5 linked regions of the Tribolium castaneum genome follow. The protein of the gene in region 2 purifies or fractionates together with the protein of the main gene of each other region. This does not show direct contact. Links are inferred from orthologs where the notes say so. Each region holds a gene or a part of one and is shown on either strand. Other genes may lie near its edges.

Evidence for each region.
Region 1: the proteins of mad2 (region 2) and Cdc27 purify together in Homo sapiens (affinity purification with western blotting; 29 studies listed by BioGRID and IntAct, with this or other methods). This does not show direct contact. The link is inferred for Tribolium castaneum from reciprocal best matches to the Homo sapiens genes MAD2L1 and CDC27.
Region 3: the proteins of mad2 (region 2) and shtd purify together in Homo sapiens (affinity purification with mass spectrometry; 3 studies listed by BioGRID and IntAct, with this or other methods). This does not show direct contact. The link is inferred for Tribolium castaneum from reciprocal best matches to the Homo sapiens genes MAD2L1 and ANAPC1.
Region 4: the proteins of mad2 (region 2) and APC4 purify together in Homo sapiens (affinity purification with western blotting; 14 studies listed by BioGRID and IntAct, with this or other methods). This does not show direct contact. The link is inferred for Tribolium castaneum from reciprocal best matches to the Homo sapiens genes MAD2L1 and ANAPC4.
Region 5: the proteins of mad2 (region 2) and APC7 purify together in Homo sapiens (affinity purification with mass spectrometry; 3 studies listed by BioGRID and IntAct, with this or other methods). This does not show direct contact. The link is inferred for Tribolium castaneum from reciprocal best matches to the Homo sapiens genes MAD2L1 and ANAPC7.

Annotation. Positions count from the first base shown.
Region 1 is NC_087394.1:14,530,637-14,535,044, forward strand, and holds part of Cdc27 (cell division cycle protein 27 homolog), read right to left. Parts: intron 847-4,408; coding exon 300-846; intron 1-299. UniProt on the Homo sapiens protein: Component of the anaphase promoting complex/cyclosome (APC/C), a cell cycle-regulated E3 ubiquitin ligase that controls progression through mitosis and the G1 phase of the cell cycle.
Region 2 is NC_087398.1:3,483,102-3,486,671, forward strand, and holds mad2 (mitotic spindle assembly checkpoint protein MAD2A), read left to right. Parts: upstream 1-1,466; 5' UTR 1,467-1,572; coding exon 1,573-1,648; intron 1,649-1,696; coding exon 1,697-1,843; intron 1,844-1,892; coding exon 1,893-2,287; 3' UTR 2,288-2,357; downstream 2,358-3,570. UniProt on the Homo sapiens protein: Component of the spindle-assembly checkpoint that prevents the onset of anaphase until all chromosomes are properly aligned at the metaphase plate.
Region 3 is NC_087397.1:4,709,487-4,714,694, forward strand, and holds the end of shtd (anaphase-promoting complex subunit 1), read right to left. Parts: intron 5,190-5,208; coding exon 4,591-5,189; intron 4,481-4,590; coding exon 3,334-4,480; intron 3,287-3,333; coding exon 3,038-3,286; intron 2,990-3,037; coding exon 2,771-2,989; intron 2,723-2,770; coding exon 2,596-2,722; intron 2,551-2,595; coding exon 2,349-2,550; intron 2,299-2,348; coding exon 2,063-2,298; intron 2,013-2,062; coding exon 1,764-2,012; intron 1,719-1,763; coding exon 1,397-1,718; intron 1,350-1,396; coding exon 978-1,349; 3' UTR 923-977; downstream 1-922. Other genes in the region: Pen (importin subunit alpha-5), read left to right, coding at 1-16, 69-251, 300-482, 529-675, 721-816. UniProt on the Homo sapiens protein: Component of the anaphase promoting complex/cyclosome (APC/C), a cell cycle-regulated E3 ubiquitin ligase that controls progression through mitosis and the G1 phase of the cell cycle.
Region 4 is NC_087400.1:321,788-326,724, reverse strand, and holds APC4 (anaphase-promoting complex subunit 4), read right to left. Parts: upstream 3,456-4,937; 5' UTR 3,350-3,455; coding exon 3,238-3,349; intron 3,193-3,237; coding exon 3,064-3,192; intron 3,003-3,063; coding exon 2,842-3,002; intron 2,796-2,841; coding exon 2,076-2,795; intron 1,621-2,075; coding exon 544-1,620; 3' UTR 538-543; coding exon of another isoform or gene 448-537; 3' UTR 398-447; coding exon of another isoform or gene 254-397; 3' UTR 187-253; downstream 1-186. Other genes in the region: uncharacterized protein LOC659212, read left to right, coding at 254-397, 448-537; CstF64 (cleavage stimulation factor subunit 2 tau variant), read left to right, coding at 3,667-3,718, 3,769-3,847, 3,893-4,316, 4,366-4,549, 4,606-4,735, 4,784-4,813, 4,869-4,937. UniProt on the Homo sapiens protein: Component of the anaphase promoting complex/cyclosome (APC/C), a cell cycle-regulated E3 ubiquitin ligase that controls progression through mitosis and the G1 phase of the cell cycle.
Region 5 is NC_087395.1:24,227,732-24,232,504, forward strand, and holds APC7 (anaphase-promoting complex subunit 7), read right to left. Parts: upstream 3,163-4,773; 5' UTR 3,092-3,162; coding exon 3,023-3,091; intron 2,976-3,022; coding exon 1,827-2,975; intron 1,638-1,826; exon of another isoform or gene 1,576-1,637; coding exon 1,102-1,575; 3' UTR 1,062-1,101; downstream 1-1,061. Other genes in the region: PR domain zinc finger protein 10, read left to right, coding at 1-310, 418-586, 630-658; U4/U6.U5 tri-snRNP-associated protein 1, read left to right, coding at 3,234-3,411, 3,459-4,105, 4,158-4,773. UniProt on the Homo sapiens protein: Component of the anaphase promoting complex/cyclosome (APC/C), a cell cycle-regulated E3 ubiquitin ligase that controls progression through mitosis and the G1 phase of the cell cycle.

The sequences.
Region 1 (4,408 bases), on a different chromosome or scaffold from region 2:
TGGTAAAGAGAAAGGTATGAAGTATAATTCAAGACTGAGAGTAGACTTGGACATTTTTTTCAAACACAAGAAAGACATCTCCAGAGCAACCGAGAACATTCTACCTAGGCAGAAAAAATACGAGTTCATTCCATATCTAATTTTCCATATCTTCGCTTGGCAAAATTTCTCGAGTTTTTTCATTTTGTAAATAAAAACAAATATTCCAAATCATGCGATTTACTCAGTGAGAAGAAAACACTCACAAATTTAGAATTTGATAAAAAATTTTGTGCAAAAATCCATCAAAAATAACTTACATTACTGGAGGAATCCGTCCGAAATCTCAGCAACTTGGTCCTCGACGTGAAGGGGGCGAAGCCCGACAGCCACACATTTTGTGTAACAATTGGATTATCATCAGGTGTACACAATTTCGAATTCGAAGTTACGACATTGGGGCTAAAATTCACAAGAATCTGTTGAGGAGTTGTGGCGTATGTCTCTTGATTATCTTGATTTGGATTGTTGTTTGTTATAACAACACTTTCGATATTGTTAATATTACTTCCCTGGCACATTGATAAATTTTCAACACCTGTTATTTGGAATATATTTTGGGGGTTTGGTTTATCTCCTATTTTGCATAAATTTTCGAAGCTTGACCATTGAAATGGATTTAGTTTTAAGGCTCGTTTCCATGCATCTATGGCACGAGGTTTTCTTTCGGTTTTGGCAGCTATGTTACCTAATAAAGATAAAGCGAATGGTGCTTGATCACCGTATTCTGATGTGATGTCGTCGAAATTCTCGGAGTCATTGCTGCTCTTATTGGAGTGTAACAAAGCTGCCTCGGCCTCAGCATATCTGTAAAAAAAACATTATTGAAGCTATGCTAAAATTAAGTAACGATAACTGTTACAACATTGTGAAAAAATGATTGTGTTTATAAATAATAGAAGGTTACGAAGACTAAATACTAAATAAATGATCTTCTGTATCTAAAAAATTAGTGCGGTAGAGTAAAAATTAGGGCACATCGAACGTTAAACTGCCTGGAAAAAACGCAGTAACATTGAGCGTAATAATTAATAAATAATAATACTTATTAAAAATTAAAAAAATTTTGACTTGTCCCATATTTTTCAAAATGCTGAGAAGAGGATTAAGAAAACAAAAAAACAAAGAAAGTTCATCAAAAACGTTGAAGCGAATTAAATTTCCTACTAAAAAGTGCACAATTTTAATTAACGGTGAATTTGATATAAGATATAACCTATTAGTTGGTTACATAAATAATCTCAGAAATAAGAGTGTACAATTAAATAATACTTCAATACAAATATTATTTAGGTAATTTTTTTATTATTATTTCTAATGACATTCTGAAATAAACAGTATGTAATTATTGTTGTTTTGTAAAAAACATATATAAAAATTGTCGTTAATTTACCACAGTTTATACAGTGTGGAATTTTTAACTGAAATAAAATTCATAACTAGGATATAGGCAATTTTTGTAAAAATTTCAGAAACAGGTGCTTTTTGTTTTTTCTTGCCCATCATTTAGTCGATATGGTTTTTATTTATCTGCTGTCAAAACCTCACAGCCACCTCCAACTTTTTTTCTCAAATGTAACGGTATGTCGTGTGACACCTCATGTAAAAGAGCACTTCGAAAGCAGTACAACGCATTATTTGCTTTCTAAATATTGTCAATGCCCAAGTGATAAAAAATTAAAGTAGTGTGGAAATATTGACTAAAATAAAATTTGTAACTTGGATACAAGCGATTTTTGTAAAAAAATCCTGACACAGGTCGATTTTTGATTTTCTTTGCACATCATTTGGTGCGGTTTTTGTTTATCTGTTTTCAAAAATGCCCAGCCACCTCTAACACTTTTTTTTTCAAATGTAACGGTTATGTCAAGTGTCACCTCATGTGAAAGAGCACTTTGCAAGGAATACAACCCACTCTTTGTTTTCTGAATATTTTCAAGGCCTGCGCGATAAAAAATGAAAATCAATTTTTATAAATTAAAATTAGGAAAATCACACTAGAAATGTTAGAAATTCATGCTACTATCGTCATGTTATTTCCCAAGAGAGGAACGGTGCCCATTTTGAACAATCAAATCAAATAATGTTCAACTTATAAAAATTGGTTCTTATTTTTTTTATCACGTAGGCTTTGAAAAAATTCAAAAAACAAATAGTGCGTTGTAATGCTTGCGAGAAGAGCTTTCATACGAGGTGTCAGTTGACATACCGTTACATTTGAAAAAAAAGGTTAGAGGCGGCTGTGCATTTCTGACAACAGATAACAAAAACCATATGCATCAAATAGTGGGCAAGAAAAAATAAAAATTGATCTGTTCGGGAATTTCACCAAAATCGCCTAAATCAAAGTTATGAATTTTATTCCAGTTAAAAATTACCCGCTGTATGTTGTACAGGGTGCTGCATGTTGGATGTTCGAATACGGGATCTCCTAAGAGGTATAGAGAAAAACCAGTGACATATTTTCGAGTCAGTTTTTTGAGAAAATAATTTCGCTATCTTTTTTTGTTTTCGACTTTTAAACACTTATGTTTATAAAAAAAAATCATATCTTCCTTAATATAAAAGATACACATTTAAAACAAAGACATTTTTTTTCAGAGAATCTAATAATGTTATCAGCAATTTTTTTCAACTATTCGTTTAACTGTAATAACATAAAGTTTTTATGATATTTTCGAAAAGCTAATTTTTTTCTGATCTGATATGTCTATTTGTGTAATACATTAATTTTAAATATTTAAGAAAAAACAAAACATTTCGCTTTTTCTTTATAGTAGGCCATGAAAAAATTTTGGATTTTTAATTAAAACTATGAAAATTGTATTACCCAACAAGTATTTATAATTTAATGATTTTTTTAAACACTAATTAATTCAAAAACAGCACAATAAATTTTTATTAGATCAAATTTTTGCAATTAATAAAAATTATTTGTTTTTATATTTAAAATGGCAAGCTTACGTTGTCATTCTATTTTCCTATTGTAAACATGAAATGTCGGAAGAAGAAAAATCTTATTAATTGTATGATTGCTTATCAATAAAATTTTATTTTACAAAAAAATATCAATCCAAACACCAAAATCAAATTCCATCTGCGGTAAAAAAAATACACAACATTATTAACGTCACCTCCTTTGCACTTTACTAAATCATAAAAAAGTGGCATCAAATGGTAGTGATACATTGTTTGAAATTTTCTGCACATTTCTTATGTAATTAAAATCCGCGACGCTCGTATATTTGTTTAAATGAAAATAACTTTAACACAGCTTATTTTTATAATCACATTTTTTACTTTAATAAACGTTCACAAAATTTCTAGATTATTCATACCTTTTATGTGAAATAATTTTTCCATGGCCGACTACTTTCAAATATTTTAAATATATTTTTATCAAAAATATATAAAAATATCAAACTATATTTATATTGTTTTGAGTTCAGAAAAAAATTAGCTTTTCGAAAATGTCATAGCCAACTATGATTCTCATTTAAAAAAATACAACTATGTTATTACAGCTGAACGAATGATTAAAAAAATCGCTGATAACATTATTAAATTCTCTGAAAAAAAATGCCTGTATAATGTTTTTGTTTCAAATGTGTATCTTTTATAATAAGGAAGATATGATTTTTTAAGATTTCGCTAAAATGTCCACTTCTTTTTATAAGTCGACAACAAAAGACGATAGCGGGATGCGGTTTTGACCAAAATTATTCTCTCAAAAAACGGAATGTTTCACTCGTTTTTCTCTAAACCTCTTAGTTTTGGAGATCGCCTATTCGGACATCCAAAATACAGCTTACGTTTTCTAGTGCACTAACTATTAACAAAGAATTAAAATTTTATTCAGCTTTCTATACACCTTTTTCAACTATGTTTCAGAAAGAGTCAAGTATATTTCTGAAAAAGGCAGTTATAATTCAGATTATATCCCATTTTCGTTCACAGTACAATTTTACAACAACGCATTTACATTTTTTTTGGAGTCAAATGGAGCAAAATTTAGAGTTTCTGGTGGGTTTTCTTAGATCAAAACGTGTCACTGGGATTTATTTTAACACAGAATTCTTTTCTTATACAGAATCTCTCAATTTGTGCTTTATTTTTCACACCAAAAAATTCAAATGCACTGTTGCAATTCTACTATGAACTGAAATGGGATATAGTAAACTGTATTTAAGGAAACGTTAATTGTAATTCAGAAATAAAATTTTAAATATTTTGGGTTTAAAATTTAAAATACAAAACATCAAAGCTATGTTCTTAATTATCAGTGCATTTCTTAGTTTAGCTTACGTAAAAGCTTCGTTTTAAAATTGGTACACTGAATTTCACTTGAACTTTTCTTAAAAACCTACTT
Region 2 (3,570 bases):
TGTTAAGGTATCCTGGTGATATCGATACCACAACAACGCGCTATCTACGAGGTGTTGACGCGCCACCTCCAACAAAATTGCATCACCCCAAAATTGACGTCCCGCCATGGTTTTGATGTCCTGTAACCACTGTAATGCGTCTGATGCACCTCCTTTTCCATTGAATACGCGTAAACTTTGCGTTAAATCGGGCATTACGCAATACCCCATGTTTCTCGACGCCCCAGGCGCCTCCACCCGGCCCAACGGAAGACTGTTCTGCAGGCCACTTGTCTCCGACACCACCCCGTTTCCAGACGACCCCAGCGTCCCCGACGCCTCCTTATCTCTGGACAACTCCTGTATGTCTGGCGACCCTGCTACCTCCTGGTCAACCGCCGCCGCCGCCGCCGCCGCCACTGTCCCTGTCTGAGCCTGTAACGCTTCGCTCACCGCTGCCTTCACTAATTGTAAAATTGTCTCTAAGTTCAAAAATTCCTGTCCTGATTGAGGGATGATTTCCTTCGGGCTTTCTTTATTCTTATCGTCCGTCATTTTCCTTTATTTCTTTGACCACTAACAAACTAACACTAATAAAACCAAACTAAGTCTCCACGAATAATTTTTTTTTTCACGATCCCACTTCTGATAAATTGTTATAGTTTATAATTTATTACGTCAGGATTATAGGGTAAATAAACTACGATCTTCTCAACAGGACCTTTTAATTTTACTTTACTCTACAAAAGCCAGTTACAGACTAACTTATTTTCTAAAAATCCAGACATTCGGCATTCATCTTTAACACATGTTTCCCATCTTTCACACTCGCCCTAAAAGCCCTCACACACACTAACCATTCGGACCTCCCAAGCATCCCTTACAATTCTACGAATTCATATCATTTGATTTGATAAAAATTGGGTGCGAATGGTTATAATTCGTGACGAAAAAAGATGAAAACGGTGAATTCAACAGATATTATCCAATTTTTTAAACTTTTTGTTTAATGGCAAATTTTGGGGCTAAATCTGATTGAATTTAGATGGAAATTAATTTATAAAATGTCTTACTGCCCTTGTTTCCCTCATAAATCGGTTAAGCAACGTTTTATGAAAAAAACACGTGGGTTTAACAAAAATTAGTTTTTCCAACAAATTCGTGGATGATTTCCATCTATTTTCGATTGAGAATGCATAATAATGATTATTTTCGCCCTAACAGTATAAAAAACAAAGATATTCTTTTAGAAAAATAGTCAAAAGGGTGCAAAAGATGATTCATTCTTATATTTTTTTGTCGTCTCATTCTCAATTTTAGTCATTTATTGGGGTTCCTATCTAGCAACGTTCTTTTGGCGATAAATTAGTAAATCATTGCGTAATTTTCCATAACAGTTATCCTGGAAAATTCTGGAACACAGCGAATTTCTCTTCCCGGTAGAAATTCTGGAAAGGTTCTCGAAATTGTTTACATCCGCTGAGATTGGCAAACCTGCCACTTGACGTTTGACAGTTTTGAAAGTTTGAATTCACTTTTTACCGTTACTTTTTTTGCCGCTAAATTATCTGTGTGTGTTAAGACAGCCCCGCAATGGCCGCAGTGGCTCCAAAAAACAAATCAGCGATCACTCTGAAAGGCTCCGCCGAAATCGTTTGCGATTACTTGAGTAATTTTGCCCCCAATTGTATAAAATGAGGTTATGGCTGTCTTGCAGATTTCGGAATCAACTCGATTTTGTTCCAACGGGGGCTGTACCCACCCGAGAACTTTCAAAGTGTGGAAAACTACGGTCTGACGATTCTCATGTCTACCGACAACAAGATCAAGGAGTTTCTCTCGACGACTTTATCGCAATTAAAAGGTTTGGGTTACCGGCGAGTTTTTTTTGACTAGTTTTGTATTATTTTTAGAGTGGTTACTACAAAGGTGCGTTACGAGGGTTGCAATGATCATAACGAACGTGAAAACGCGGGAGGTTATGGAACGTTGGGATTTTTATGTTGAGTATGAGGGGAATGCGGATGAACCTGGGGGGGCCGTGTCGGAAAAACCGTTAAAAACTATTAAAAACGAGATTAGGGACGTGTTGAAACAAATCGCGTCGTCGGTCGCCTATTTGCCTTTATTGGACTGTTTATGTAGCTTTGATATTCAAATTTATACCAAAAGTGATGTTGATTTGCCGGGAGAGTGGACTGAGGCCCAAGCAGCCCATGTAAAAAATGCACAGTCGGTTAAAATGCGGTCCTTTTCAACCAATTTACATAAGATGGATACTGTCGTTACCTATAAGAATGAGGACTAGGTTTAAGTGTAAAGTGGAAGCGATTTTTGCGTTCAGTGTGTTTAATAAATTTACATTTTTTTACACAGAAGATTTTTATTCCAACACCAATGATCGAAAAAAAGGATTATGATTTTACATTTGTGTTTTTTTATTGACTTGAAGGTAACAACCTTCATTGAAGTATTCTAGGACTTGGGGCAAACTCACTCAAAGATAACGTTTTCTGCGTTTATTTAAATATATTTATAATTAATAAAGTTTATAAAAGAAGTAACATTTCTTTTATTTTTCAAGCATATAAAACTTAACTACAGTCACGACAAATGGTTCGAGATTTCGACCTAAACTTCTAAGTTTTCACTCAACTAATAGCGCCATTTATCGTTATCACAATATGCGAGTATCTTTAACAACACTGAGATTTACATAACATTGTTGCTAACATGATAAAAAAATTATTACACATCGACTACTACATTGTGCGTTTTTCTCCAAATCAAATAAATTAAACGAGTATCTACATCCTCTGTAATGCAATTTTCTTTGGTATAGGGTTATCCAGCCTTGTCGCTCTTTTCCGCTCCCTCACAATACTGGAACAAATCAAACAATTATTACTGAGTGATTAGCAACTGGAGTTTCGAAACCACACACCCTCTAAACTACACAGTGTTAGTGCGAAAACGTGCAAAGTCAACACTACCTTACCGAATCGGTCGCTTTTTTGCCTGAAACATAAAAGGGAACGTGTACAAGAGTCGGTTTTTCCCCGGTAGTTGAGAGGTTTGTGTTAAGGTTTACGTCTACGTATTGCTATTTGAGAGGGACATGCGAGTTAGAGACATCTGAAACTCACAACAAATCTAACAGTCGATTAAATTTCGAGAGTTATTAGTAAACAGTTATTAAAGAATTGGTTAATACAGAGAGCAGGCAAAATTGATTACATACCTAATTTTATAATTTTTTATCCAATAGAGAGTCCTTTTGTCCCCCAATGTACCAGATAGGGTCAAACCAATAGTAAAAAAACTACGTCCTTCCTTTCATCGTTTATTAATAAGTTTACAACAATTTTTTTATTTTTTTAGAATTTGTAATAAAGATTCTTAAGATTTTGTTGTGAGTATAGATGTAATAAATAAATATATCTACATGACTTTATACAAAAATTAAGTAAAATGTCGGTCCCTGATATTTATAGGTACATTGCTTTTTACCTGAAATCCAAATCGAGTTTCGGTCAAATTTATTAGACGAATTCGATATCAGGTATAAAGTGGGTAAATGAATGTCGATAA
Region 3 (5,208 bases), on a different chromosome or scaffold from region 2:
CGGAAACGACCATCAGGTATAAGGCCACTCAATCAATTGTTAAAAGTATTAATAATTTCGTTTGGTAGACTGATATGGTGATCAATGCCGGGGCTTTAGATTGTATGATCCGTTTATTGCAACACAGTAGACTGAACATTGTCAAAGAAGCTGCCTGGACAGTTTCAAACATTACTGCCGGAAATAGTGAGCAAATCCAAAAAGTCCTAGATGCCGGGATTTTGCCTTATCTTCTTCACGTCCTACAAACCGTATTGTTGCCACGCTTTGTCCGATTTTTCCTAAAACGTGACTTTTAGGGCGACTTTAAATCGCAAAAAGAGGCAGCTTGGGCTGTTACTAATTTCACAAGTGGCGGGAATTCCGCCCAATTGGCGCAACTTGTGGAAATGGGGGCGTTGAAACCCATGTGTAATCTCCTGAATTCCAAAGATAGCAAGACTATTATCGTGGTGTTGGAGGGATTGAATAACATTTTATCGGTGAAAAAAAATTTGTGTTGGAATTTTGTCTAATTGTCGATTTTAGGCCGCTGCCAAGTTAAATCAAGCCGAGAAAGTGGCCATAATGATTGAGGAGTGTGGCGGTTTGGACGGTATTGAGGCCTTGCAAAGTCACGACAATGAGAAAGTCTACGAACGGGCTTTGCACATTATCGAGAATTATTTCGCCGATGTGAGTTATTTTGTGGGTAAATTGTTTTGTAATTTGAGGTTTCAGGGTGAGGAGGGAGTCACTGTTACTGTAGCAAATGGGGAGATTCAGTTCGCTACTCCTAATATGGCCGATCAACAACAATCACCCTTTTCCTTCTAAGTTTCAACCGATGCGTTTAGTTCATTCCTTATTGTGTTAGTGACACGTTTTGTATTTTTATAGTCTGTATTACGATATGTTCCCAGTTTTCGAAATAAAAATTATGTTAAACCTTGAAATTAGTTTTATTTCACATTTATTTATAAAAAATACAGCTTCTTTCACATCCTTAGCCTCATAATTTTCTCTAAGGTACTAACGGAATATTTGTCTTGAAGTTTAAGCATCACTTCTAATGGATCACCTTCTGCACTTTCCCTAAATGGTATATCGTAAAATATCACATACATGGCTAGCCTATTCAAGGTTTCTTTATCAAAAGCCAAGTCGGCGCCCCTTGTATACGCTTCTAAGGCGGGGGCCAAGCCAGGTTCCCAATCTTCTAAAACTTCTAACATTTGTTGCTTTATGGCCAACATTACTTCCGGTTGAATTAAATTACAAGCTAAGGGAGTTGATATTATTTGTGCAAACAGCAACTTGACTTGCCAAAAGTTCAAGGCGTTTGGTAACAATCTCATATCACGAACGACCTGAACATAAAATCATTATTTAATAAATACATGAGTCTTGACATTACCTTTAACAGAAAACTAATAACCGGTATGACAACAAGTTTGTCTTTCACGACAGCGTCGTACGTCGCTTTAGTCAGCATTCGTGTTAATTTCAATTCTTGCGGACTTAGTTTATCAGTTGAGAGAAAATGATCACAGAAATACTTAATAGCTTGGTCGTGTGTGAACGAAAGGATGGACGACGATGAAGGATTCCACGGTACAGTCTCAGACTGAGTTAACGTTTTGGCCAACTGGCTGTGATAACCCAATTTATCGGCAATGTAGCTCAAACAGCCCGCCCTTTGCTTGACTTCAACGAACCCATTAGTCGAGAGTATGGTTCTAAAAACCAAACATGACTGATTTTTCACGAAGAAATTAATTTACATGAGAGAATTCCAATTTTGGCTCCTCTTGAAAACCACAGGCCAATAGCGCTCGTCCTCAATCGCCACTTCTTTCAACATACTGAGGTCGGGGATAATCCCGGGTGCTTTTACGAAACTTTTCGTACCGTCCAATTTAACGACACTCAAAGAGGCGTAGCAACATTTACCAGAATGAACATCTTTTGGTATTATTAGACGCGGCTCAACCGCCAGTACGTACAAATGTCGGAAGGCTTGAAGGTGATACCTGGAGCAATATTACATATTTTTCCTACTTTTACACAACCGTTTCGTTACCTGTTATCGTTACTATGAGTTGGAAATTTCGGGTAAAAAGCACATATTAAGGCCGCAATGTTCCCCGGAGAGTTAGATAACGTGTATCTCCCACCCCCCAAAAACAACAAACCTAAGGCCATATGCATTGCCAGGTGTGAACCGTACGTGACCACAGAACTGCTAGCTACACCAACTCGGCGGCGTAAAAGTCGCACAAAACGCATGATTTCAAGATTACCAGTCCCCGCCATCACCTTTAACAATTTTTTTTTCAAATAAAAACCACAATTAATCGTCACAGTACCATCGCGCTCGATAATAGCAGGACATTGAGACAGGTTTCAACGGTCGGTTTCCCGGCTAATTCAGCTATGGATTTGATCGTCAGGTTGGTAAACATGCGGCAGAAGTGGAGCAAAGTCTGGAAGGCGTTTTCGTCCGCAGAACCCGCGTACTTGAGACCCAAGGCGAAGCAAGCTCCTGTCACAATGTTACAATAAGCTTGGCTAAAATCACACGGTTATTTCCTTAAAATCGTACAAATCACTAACTTCATAGCTTCAAAATCAATATCCAAATTCGGTGATGGTTTTAGCATACAGTAGGGCCTGATGGTACCCGGCACTTGACCCTCGACCCATTCCTTGCTCGGCACAATATCATCCCAAAGAATCAAAGCTGTGGAACAAAAAATCAAAAATTTTCAACGTGATTTTGAGGGACAACCTCGCGCCAATATCCGAAACATTAAAAAGTCAGGACGCACAAAATCAAGCAAATATTGTGTTTCAGGCGGCGCCATCCAGTCAGCTACGGCCTTATTGCCAGTTCCTAGATACATAAGGCCTAGAGCTATCGTGGCCCCCGGTGCTGTCACGTCTAAATTAATGGAAGAACCTTCCCGGATTTGAAACGACGGTACTTTGTATTTGTCTTTCTGTGCGCCTGTAAATTATTACCAGTTAAAATGTTTGATTTCATGTGGTCATGTACCGGTTAAGGGACGTCGGTTACCACCGACCATGTAATAGTGCAAGCGGTCGGAAATATTCAAGTCTGACAAGCCCAGAGAGCAACTGCCTTGCTTCAAAGTTACTAGGCCTAGCGATAATCCGGCTGCAAGTGAGTATGATTCCCGGTCGACGCTGTTTTCCATCTCAGGGCCTGGCGGACGCCCGATTTCGGATAACAGGACTTCGATAATGTGGCGGTGCGAAGTGCCTTGGTAGACTAACCCAATGCCTTGAAATAACACAAAGTAATAATAATTTTAAATGCTTTTTACCGACCTAGCAATGCAGCAACTTGCACATTTTGGTGCACATCAAGCTCCATCGATGTCGGGGGCAGCATAGCTTCCACATGTATACTCAAAGTCTTGGTCATTCCCAAATCCGAAGTGCCCCTAAAAGCCGCAGACATCCCAAGCAAAATCCCAATACTCGTCATTTCGTGCAACTTAATCAAATAGTCATACGTGTTCAACGCATCTAAATTTTTCAAATGGCCATTCAGGCCCAAGGCCATTAAAAACCCGGCATGTTCCATCTGCTGTTCCATCGAACCCTTCGGTTTGTTGAACACAATCCACGTATTGTCCACATTGTGCGCATCGGGATTTATCCTCAAACCGTTCGCCACACCGTTGTGAAACAACGGCCACAAATTCATATTCGAGGGCGTATCGATGTGGTTTAGCTCAACTGTCGTGCCCCGCGGGGGCGCCTTCCCGGTCAGGCACAGTGGCGGTGTTTGCAGCGGTTCGGTCACAACCGGTGCCGAGGTTCTCAAAGTGAACATCCCTCGGCCTGTTGACAGGGCCATGGTTCTGGTACAGATCGCAAACAAGTGTTTTTCTTCCTCTTCGATAAAATCATGATCGGACACGTCCGGTCGTTGCACAAGGACAATCGGGACGGGTTTGGAGCTTTGCAGCATTTTCCGGGCTTCGGCCACTCGCATATCGTCCGGAAAACGCAGCTTGGTTAAGGGGTTTTCAATGTCGTCCATTCCGTCTTGTTGCTCACTTTCGACCGGTTTGGACGTAAGGACAATGCCTGGCAGTTCGTGGGTTGTGTACATTCCTATTTTCTCTAAAGTCGTTTCGGGTTTTTCTTTGTGGAATTTGTGCGCTTGAACAGCGAGGTCATCGCGCCATAGTAAGTAATAAGCGTCTGAAGGTAAGTCCGAGGGAGGGTTATCTCGGCATTTCCACAATGTGCTGTATATTAGGAGGTAAATCGCTGGAGGTAAAGTGTCCAAATCTCGAACCGTCATTTTTTTCGATGTCATTAAAAGAAGTGTTTGTTCCGGTGGCGAAAGCTCAGATGGTTCTTCTTGAAGAACTGGGCTACCGTTAGATGTGATGTTGGGCTCTATGAGCTTAAGCAAATTGGCCGGCTTGTGGCCAAGTTCTTTAAAGATGATGCCGCAAATCTATTAAAAACAACTCGAATATTTTACTTGAAAAACTATTCGTTTATCTCTCACTTTCACTTCTTTAAAAACTAAATATAAATAAAAAAAACGCAACAGACGAGACTTACCTGCACGATGTCCTTTGACTTATTGTTGACATGATTTACAAACGGATAGGGCGCCACTTCCCCTTTTTGCATCAAATGGCACAAAAACTGCATAATATTGGCCGGCGTTTCGCCAATAAACGGATACTCATGTACTTGTTTTAACTCATTTGGTGCGATATATCCGTTCGAATTTAACGAGAAACAATCGGGAAAATCTTTCCAGTAGTGCACCACATACTCAACCATCCCTAAATCGCTGGCTATCTTATTTAAAAAAATCGCCAACAGTTTCAAGTCATCCGATCGCAACACATTCAACTTCAAATCTTCATACAACAAGTGTAAACAATACAAAATCAAGCGAATAAACGGGAAAAGGAGCGAATTAACATTAATTTGAAGCGTCCTAGTGTGGCTTTTGGGGGGATTTGAGTTGCATTTGAGGAGCAACGTATGTTTGAGACACTTGTCTAGTTTCGTTGCATAGTCCGAATTGCTTAAATACAACCAATCCTCGTCCGTCCCGGCACTTGAGTGTTTCTGTCGCTTGGGGTTACTGCAAGGTGTTACGGGGCAGTCCTCAGTGTTACCAAAATCTTGCTCGTAACCCAAAAATTCTAAACAAGAAAATAAAAC
Region 4 (4,937 bases), on a different chromosome or scaffold from region 2:
AACGTTGGTATAATTCAGAAAATGAGCCGCTGAGTTCATTGGAACAAACCGTTTTGCTCTACGACATTTAGTTTTTGAGCTATGAATTTTTTTTGTTGAATATGGGAAAATAAAGCCCTTTTATATTTTGTTTTATAATCTCGTTATTTAATTTTTTGTATCTGTACAAAAACTAAAAGAAAACAATTTTTCTTCCACCTTGCAAGGTTAATTAATAAGGAAAACGAATTTATTTATTTTTTAAAATTTTCAGGTTTTATGTAAACAATACTTCGAGTGGGTACAATCGCACGCCGGCCACTTGCCACCAGGGGCGGTCCAAGGGGGGCACACCAGCGAAGGGGAGCCCCTTTACATAGGCCGCGCCTACCACGAAGGCTCCCAAACAATTGGCAAAGTACTTAACTCACCCTTATAAATTTTAACCCTTGATCATTTATTTTCCAGATACACCCCAGCCATGGTGTCTGCTACATAGCATACGGCGGCGAAGAAATCGCTTGTCCCGAATACGAAACTTTAGTCCTTAGAATGTAAATAAAGTCATTCTTGTACCCCACTATTGTTCATCTCCGCATCTTCCTCCTCCTCTTCCTCCCCCTCCATTTCATACAAGCGCACCTTCCTCCGATTTTCCGCCAATACGATACCGACACGTCGACTCCCCGACACTGCAAACTCCGCCCCCACCATCCCCTCCACACACTTAAACAGCTTCGGAACCAAACACGAACCGTTCAAACTAACCACGTTAACCGCACCACTAAAAACACGATCTGTCTCCCCCCCATCCACAAACTTGTCCAAAACGCCACCTATCGGTATCTGACTTAAAACTGTAGCTTTAGAAACGGTGTTTTCTTGCAATAAAACCGACAATACTGCACTCGAATATAGTTTAATATCGATCACGTGATAATTATCCTCGGAATTGTCACGGGGGAAGTACAGACGCGCACACTTTATGAAACAATTGCCATCGTCTAGATACACCTGCAGGCCTAGAACGGTCTCAGGCGGCTGCAAGTAACAAAAAAGAATCGATTCTTTGTTTAAGTTGACTTGGGACGTCCGTAACGAATCGCCGCAAAATTGGAAACAATTGAAGTCATTCAAATGACTGAACTGCCTACTAATTTGCTCTCTAGGTGTCGCGAAAATCGCATCGACGCTTTGCTTCAAATGCTTGTACTGTTGTATCAGCGACATCTCTTTGAAGTGCCTCAAAATGGAACTATTTTTTTCGATGCATTGGTTCTGGGCCAAAAAATCAGTCCATTCGTTCCCGGACATGTCTGGTTGGATCGTCAAATTGCCATCGCTTAAATATTGCCCCAACCGCTCCATAATGAACCCCTTTTGTTTGTTATTCCGACTGATGTGGTCAAAGTTTTGCAAAAATTCGGTGATGTAAGCCAGGTCTTGCTGAGTCATTTTGGGGATTTCGTTCGGTATTGGCTCATCCAGAACGTGCATTATTGCCGTGTAGAGCCAGCGGAAGAAGGCCTTGTAATTGATGATGGAGTGATTGATGATTTGCTGCATTTCGCTGCCTTTGATCAAGAAGGCGCCGTTCGAGGAAATGGCGCCGGTAATGGCGGCCGCGTCCAAACCCAAAACCTACAATCACCCAATCACCATTTTTTACACTAATAACTTCTTTTCAATTGAAACGCGTCCTAAACGTGGGAGCGAAAAGCCGAAAAAGGCGTTTTAAAGCCGTCAGGGGTTTCCCCGAATATTTTGGACTTTTTTCACGTAGTATTTGCTCGATTTTAAACTAAATATTTATTTATTTTGCCAGATAGTATTTTGTTCGTTTAAAAAATCAGACACTATATTCGTTTCAAAGCAAACCTGATTGATATTTGTTTGTTTCACTCAATGTAGCTTGTTGCGTAAAATTTCGTCTAAAATACGCCTGTTTTTTAACTATTTCTCAGACTTTGAAATTATCGAACTAAATGTGATTTTTCCATTTTTGTGCATTTTTGATGGTTTTTCTTGCCAAGTTCACACAAAATTAAATTTTAATTTTTTTGTTGAGTTGGCAGCCACCACACACTTGTACCAACCTTATAGCGGTGTTCCAGTCTTGCCATCCCCCTCATTTCGGCCAAGTGATAGGTAACATTCTGCCCAAACTTCATCACATACTTCAGCATCAACTTCTGAATGTTGGAATAACTCATCTCAATCGTCTGCCCGAACTTCTCCAACCCTTTCTTCGTTAAATCGTGTATGAGAAAGGTCTTCATCTCATCCGAGCAAATTCCAAACGTCAGCAAATCCAAAAAATCAGCCGTGACGCCCCCTTCTGGCACCTTGCTCGCATATTTCGACAACTTGTTGTCCATCTCCAGCAAAATGCTCTCCCAGGACTCGGTGATGGTGGTAATAGTGTTGGAGAGATAGGTCACCAGTGAGGTCAATTTTATGTGTTTGAGGGCCAAAGCGAACAGTTCGTTTGTGTGCGTTTTGAAAATTTCCGAATCGAAACAAATCAATTTAACGTTGTTTTCGTTGTCTCGCACTGTGAAAAACATGCGGTTCAGGTCCTCGTTCAAATGCATGTTCTGGATGGAGCAAAGACAGTTGAGAGTTTGCTTCAAGTCAAGGGAAGCGCACGGGAAACAACCGAAAACTCGCACGTGCACGGTGCCCTCACTTGTCCCAATCAGGAGCAAATTAAAGTCGGTTTGCTCTTGCAAAATGTTGGTTTTCTGACCATCGTCGTTGTTGGGGGAATCGAACTGTTGTAGCACCGGTTCGGGCAAAAAATTACCCGATAAGTCCTACAACTGGGAAATTAAACGAGCACTAACATTCGGGTTTTTTTACAATGTGTTTCATGTACTGATTCTGTTTACTGTCTTCGTCAACTGAAGGCAGTTTCCCTTTAACAGTCCGGTCTTGCAACCAATTGAGACATGAAACTTCGCCCTTGATGTCAATAGTGTGCAACACCGACTTATTCTCGACCTTCACAAGCAGTATTTGGCCTGAAATTGCACAAAACAATGGATTTAAATTATTTCCAATACTTTTTTTACAATATTTTACCAGAACTGTACGCAATTGCTATGATTTTGCCGTCAGGCCTCCAGGCAATACTTGTGACCTTTAACCCATCCTTGGGGGCACTGAGACTCCACGCTTTGGTCCAAGTGAGTCGATGAAGAGCCACCTCTCCTACAAAGACACCCAAAAATGCCGGTTACTGCAAATGGGGGTTACCTTTGATATTGGCAAGAGCGACAAGGTCCATACGGTCGCTCCACACCATTTGAACAATCTCACTGGCCACATTGCGCTCTTCGAGCTGTTTAATCGCCTGAACTGTGCTCATTTTCCAACAATTAGTAACAAAAAACAATTTTCAAATTGTAAGGTTACGTTTAATTCTGTCATGGGTACCAACTGTGCGTCTGGACCCGATTTGCTTTATTTAGCCAAATGTGCACAAACAGGCCTAGTCAGGCGTTACGATTCACTTTAGGGTTGTAACCACAATAGATAAACCAACATTTTTGTTATTGTTGGCTTTAAAATGCATAATTTTGTACTTTTTTAAAAGGTAGAGGGTTGGTAACGCTGACCGTTTGTTGAAATTGGTGTCCCAGGTGTCTTGATTACTTCGTTCCAAGTTGGAATTAAACAATCACCATGGATAATTTAGAAGCAAATATCATGGACAAGTCAATGCGTTCGGTCTTTGGTACAAATTATTTAAATTTTAAGTGATAATTATAACCCCATTGCTTCCAGTGGGCAACATCCCCTACGAAGCCACCGAAGAGAAGCTCAAAGACATTTTCGGCGAAGTAGGCCAGGTCCTGTCATTCAAGTACGTTGCCCTGCCCCCTGAAGCCCCCTAACGCCTGAATTTTAGGTTGGTTTTCGACCGCGAGACAGGCAAGCCCAAAGGCTACGGCTTCTGCGAGTACCGCGACCAGGAGACGGCGCTCAGCGCCATGCGCAACCTCAACGGGTACGAGATCGGGGGGCGCAACCTCCGGGTCGACAACGCCTGTACCGAGAAATCGCGCATGGAGATGCAAAACTTGCTGAACCAGCCCCCGGTCGAGAACCCCTACGGCGAGCCGATTCAGGCCGAGAAGGCCCCCGAGGCCATCAGCAAAGCCGTGGCCTCGTTGCCCCCCGAGCAGATGTTCGAGTTGATGAAGCAGATGAAGCTCTGCATTCAGAACAACCCCACTGAGGCCAGGCAGATGCTGCTGCAGAACCCCCAGTTGGCGTACGCTCTGCTGCAGGCGCAGGTGGTTATGAGGATTATTGACCCGCATACGGCGGCTGTGAGTTGGGGGTTTGGGGGCGTATTTATATTTTATTGGGGGGTTTTAGACAATGTTGCATCCGCAAAATCCCGTTCCTTCGTCTTTGACGCCCAAGGAAAAGACTAATCCAGGCCCCATTCCGATTAACAGTAATTATGTCTCGAATCCCACGCCTGTGCAGCCCCCAAGACAGGACTTTCAGCCGGTGCCAGCCCCCGCGATTCATAATAATTCCAATCCGGTCTTCACAGGTGATTTTTTTTATCACAATTGATTATAAATAATAATAATGTTTGCGTTATTGCAGGTCAAGACGTTGATCTAAGATCACTGGACCCCCGAGGGGCTGATCCTCGCCTCAGCCGCCTGGGCGACCAGGACATGCGCACTTTGCCCGGACAACTCCCCAACCCCCTTCCGCCGCCACTTGTCGAAAAGTAAGTAAAATAATTCAACCTTGAGCCCTTTTACTCAAATTTAAACAGTTTCACTAAGCAGGATCAGAAATTGGAAAGGTAAATAACCATTTACAATTGATTAGAAATACAATTTACTGATACTTTTTCTTAGCTTTAATAGGGACCCACGTGGAGGTCCGGCCAACTTCCCATCTGATCCGAGACAACAACAGCGAGCTGA
Region 5 (4,773 bases), on a different chromosome or scaffold from region 2:
ACGCAAAGCTCACATTTTGAAGAATCATCCGGGGGCCGCTTTGCCGATGAGTAACCGGAAACAGGGCAATTTTCCGGATAATTCCGGGCTTCCGAATCCGACGTTTTCGCAAACTGTGGGCAGTATTACGACGCGGCCGCAGAACTGCAAGTGGTGTCATAAGCAGTATGCGAGCAAAGCGAAGTTGTTGCAGCATCAGAGGAAGAAGCACAGCGAGCAGTTGGCTCAGCAGAATGGGGGCAAGGAGGAGCAGAAGTACACGCCGCCGGAGCAGGCGGAGGGACAACAGAATGACTTGCAGGACTTTAAGGTTGGTTTTATGCCGCAGGAATCACTATGTTTAGTCCGCGGTCCGCGCTCTCATTTTTTTTTTTTAATAATATAGCAAGTAATAAAAAAATGTTAATGTTTCCGCAGGTGTCTGAGAGCGATATTTTGAACAGCGCCCTCGAAGAATATAACAAACGCGGAGGGGAGCAGTTTTGTCATTTTGTTGCGATTGAAGGTGGGGACGAGTTTGAGCAGTCAACTGGGGATTTGGGGGCCCCCAATTCGCATTTGTTTCGCTTACTGACAACGAGCAACGGTGAATATTTTCCCCGAGATAAAAAAAATTGATTGTGTTTTAGAACTTCCAGGTTTAGTGCCACCACGTTGAAGAAAAACCTCGAGGATTTCGAGTATTTCCGGTGCTCCTTTGTGAGATTTCCACTCAACTGAGTGATTTTGAGCGAGTTTGTGCCGTAGGTTGAAACCTACGTATTTAATAAAATGCAAAAAGTAACAAAATAGAACGAGAGGCGAAGAGAATTTTGGGAAATTGAGATTATTTTAGCAATAATTGTCTTAATTGTAACAAATTTATAAACGAACAAGCGCTTATTGTTTGGCTTGGCCGCGGCCGCTTGTGTTTAGCTTAGGGACGTTTGTTTGGGTCAAAAATGTATCCTAGATTCTAAAAGAAATGAAACCTTTTCCCCGTGATAGTACTAACACTTTGTATTTTAACACGTAAATAATTAGGGAAATGTAACCCTGTGATTGTTGAAAACAAAGTCGCGTGACTTTAAATATTTTTATTGTAAAAAAAATTGTTATCACCTAGAAACTCATATTGGTAGGCCAGGGTTCGGTATCGTTCTGGACAAAAACATCGTCCTCGGAGGCGCTCGTCCCTGGCGACGTGTACGACGTCTCCCCCACGCAGGTGTAGTAGCTCTCCCTTTTGCTTAAAGACACGTTGCGTCCGATGCAACTCAGGCCCTCGGTCGCCCTCTGGTTGGACGGGTCGAGCCGCAGGGCCACGTTGTAGTGGTGGAAAGCCTCGCTGTCCTTGTTCAAATTGACGTAGCAGTCGCCCAGCATCTGGTGGATGCGCGAGGTGGGGTGCTGTTCCACGTGCTTCAGCAGGAGCTGCCGAGCTTGGTCGTACTGCTGCTCCTGCTCGAGCAACTCCACGAGCATACAGACGGCCTTAGTGGAAAACGTCTTGTCTTGGCTCACGGCCTTCTCGAGGAGGTTTCGCACCGTTTTCCCGGACGTCATCGGGTCTTTGAGTAAAACGGAGGCGTGCAACTGCAGTGAAACTATTTTTTGTAATTGTTGTTATTTGAGGAATAAATAAGAAAACAACTTAATGGCGCCTAATCCGTTTCGACACCTAAAGCAAAGACAACGTCCCATCCCGATATTCCTCTCAGATAGCGCATTAGTTTGCCAGATGAAGGCAAACGAAAAAAAAGTGATACGTTTTTAAAATAATTCGTCCCAAAAAAACAGTCTAACAGCCAATTCTCTCTTTACCGTATTACAATTTTTTCACTTACCGTAACCGAATGTGGGCTGAAATTGAGCTGTTTGCACGCATTTTGCGCCATGGAGTCGGCCTCCCTCAGCCGATTCATCTTCACATAGCACTCGACCAAACACTGGTGCAAGTCGTATCGAAACGGACAGATCTGGATCGCTTCCGTGCAATGCTGGGCGGCATCCTGGTACTTGCTGAGCTCCACCAGCGTCTTGGCTTTCAGCAGCAACGCCTCTATGTTTTTGGGCGAGGCACAAAGCGCCTGCTGTGCGAAATAAACGGCTTTTTCGTGCCGTCTCGTCGAAAACATCAGATTGCCAATGACCACCCAATGCTCACTCGTCCACAGCGACATATCCGAGGTCGGGATCAAATCCTCCAAATACTCAACGTGTTCGGAAGTCCCCGAGCTCGCCAAAAGCGTGGCCAGTAAATCGCGACCAAAGACTAGGTTCTGGTCGAGTTTAATCGCCCGCTGGAGGACTGCAATCGCCGTCTCGTCCTCACACATGTAGTGGTAGCAGTAGCCCAGGTTGACCAGCAGCGACGTGTTGTCTTTGAGTAGACCGTGGCTGTCCATGCTTTTGTACGTTTGGGCGGCGTTTTCGAAGTCGCGCGAGTACAACTGGGCTTGTGCTTTGAGCCAGAGGTTTAGCCAGTTTAGTTCGGAAGTTGCCTCCACCATTAGTGCGTTGACTTCGACCCCTTTCACCCCCAGCTTGAGCAAGTTCTCCACGGCTTCGAGGGCCAGCGGGCACTCCCGGAGCACCTCCTTGTAGCACGTTATGGCCGAGCGCTCCATCCCGGCCTCCCTGTACAAGTTGCCGAGCGCCATGTTGACTTTGGGGGTCCGCAGGCGGGCCTGAATCGACTGCAGCATCTCGATGGCCCCATTCACCTGCTTCAGGGCCATGCAGCACTTGTGTATCTTGAACCTGATCTCCACATCGCTGGCCAGTTCGGGCTGACTCTCCGTGATTTTATTAGACATTGACTTGGTTTTTAAGAGGTGTTTGCGGAGCTGTAAGGCCTGGCGGTACAAACTCTCGCTTTGGGCGAACTGTTGCGTCTCGTACAGCGAATCGGCGTACAGCAACATCACCTGGAACTTCTGCAAAGGGGGCAAAAAGTCGGGCTTTTGCTCGGACGCCGACAGGGCCAAGTCGCACTAAAAGCACAGTTGGGGGCTCAGACTCCCAAAAGGGGGCTACAAACCACTCGGGAGATGTTCGAGTGCAGGGCAAGCTCGTACATCGCCTGCAATTGCTTCAATAAGTTGGTCATCTTGGCTTGGCAAATGTGGGGTTAGGTTTTTGAACTCGGCAAATCCCGTAACGGCGAAACCACCAATCCGGATTTCGCGCACGTCAAAACGTTGCATTGACGTTGTGTACGGTAGGTATTTCCTTCAAATTTTGTAAAAAGGATGGGTTCTAGTAGCAAAAAATACAAAGAAAAAGAGAAAGAGTCTCGTAAGCGGCGCCACCACAGCCCCGGCTACACCGACGAGCATGAGCCCCCGAAGGAGAAGCGCCACCGCCACAAGAGGCACCACAGGGACAAGAAGCGCGACGCGAGGGCGAAGCACGACTACGACAGCGACGGTAAGCACCCCGCGTCCAACTTTCCCGTTTGAATGATTTTTTGCCAGGATCCGACGTGATCGAGGTGATTCCGGACGATGAGCCTTCGGGCTCCGGGCAAAACGCTGAGAGTCTCTCGATTGAGGAAACGAACAAACTGCGGGCGAAGCTCGGCCTGAAGCCGCTCGATGTGAGTTCGGGGGACAAGTCCGAGAAGAAACGGGATGACGGGAAGAAGAAGGACGATTGGGGCGAGTTTTACCACAAGCCGGCGGAGAATTGGGCGGATAAGCACGAGAGGGAGAAGCTGAAGGGCAAATTGACAACGATTCGGGAAAAGCGCCAGCTGGAGAATAAGCTGGGCAAGGTGAAGCTGCTGGGGGACAGTGATAGTGATGATAATGTGGAGTCGTGGGTTGATAAGAACCGCAAGATTGAATTGGCCAAGAAGGAGGCTGAGAAAAGGGCGAAAATGTTGGAGGAGTTGGATGAGCAGTTTGGGGTCAGCGAGTTTGTGGAGAATGAGAAGAAGGAGAAGAGGAAGCAGAGATACACTGAGAGGAATTTGAAAGGGCTGAGGGTGGAGCATGATGTTGATAGCTTTGCTGAGGAAAGGGATGTTATCTTGACGCTGCAAGACAAGGGCGTCTTGGATGAAGACAAGGAGGATGTCCTGGTCAATGTCAACATGGTTGAGGACGAGAGATACAAAAAGGTAATTTGTTACAAATATTTACAGTGAATGATTATTTATCATCAAATTTCAGAACGTTATAAACAAGAAGAAGAAGATTTTGTATAACGCCTACGAAGACCAGGAGTACGACGAGTTTGGCAACCCCAAAGAAAAGTCGCTTTTGGCCCAATACGACGAAACAATCGACGGCGAAAAACGCGAAAGCTTCAAAATCGGTTACGACAATGCGGTTGAACGTAAACAAGCAATCGTGCAATCAATTAAGGAAAAACTCGCCAAAAAAAGAATCGAATCGATTGAAACAAAAGATTTAAAACTCGCATCGGAATATTACAACGACGAGGAACTGTCCAAATTTAAAAAACCCAAAAAGAAAGTCCGCAAAATCCGAACTAAGGGAAAACTGACCGCTGATGAATTGGAGCAACAAATTAACAACAAAGGCATCGAGGAAGTCGGCTCAAGACGCCCAAAGAAAGAGCTCGAAGACTTGACCATTGACGACATCCCCGAAATGGAATACCCCACGGACGTCAAACTCGAGGACGAGAAGGACGATCTCTTGGAAAAAGCGCTGCACAAGACACGCAAAATCAAACAGAAGGAGAACCTCGTTGCTGAGATTGTTAAATCAACGCCGGTTAAAAGCGAAAGTGAGGAAAACCTGGAGGGGAGTATTGTTCTGA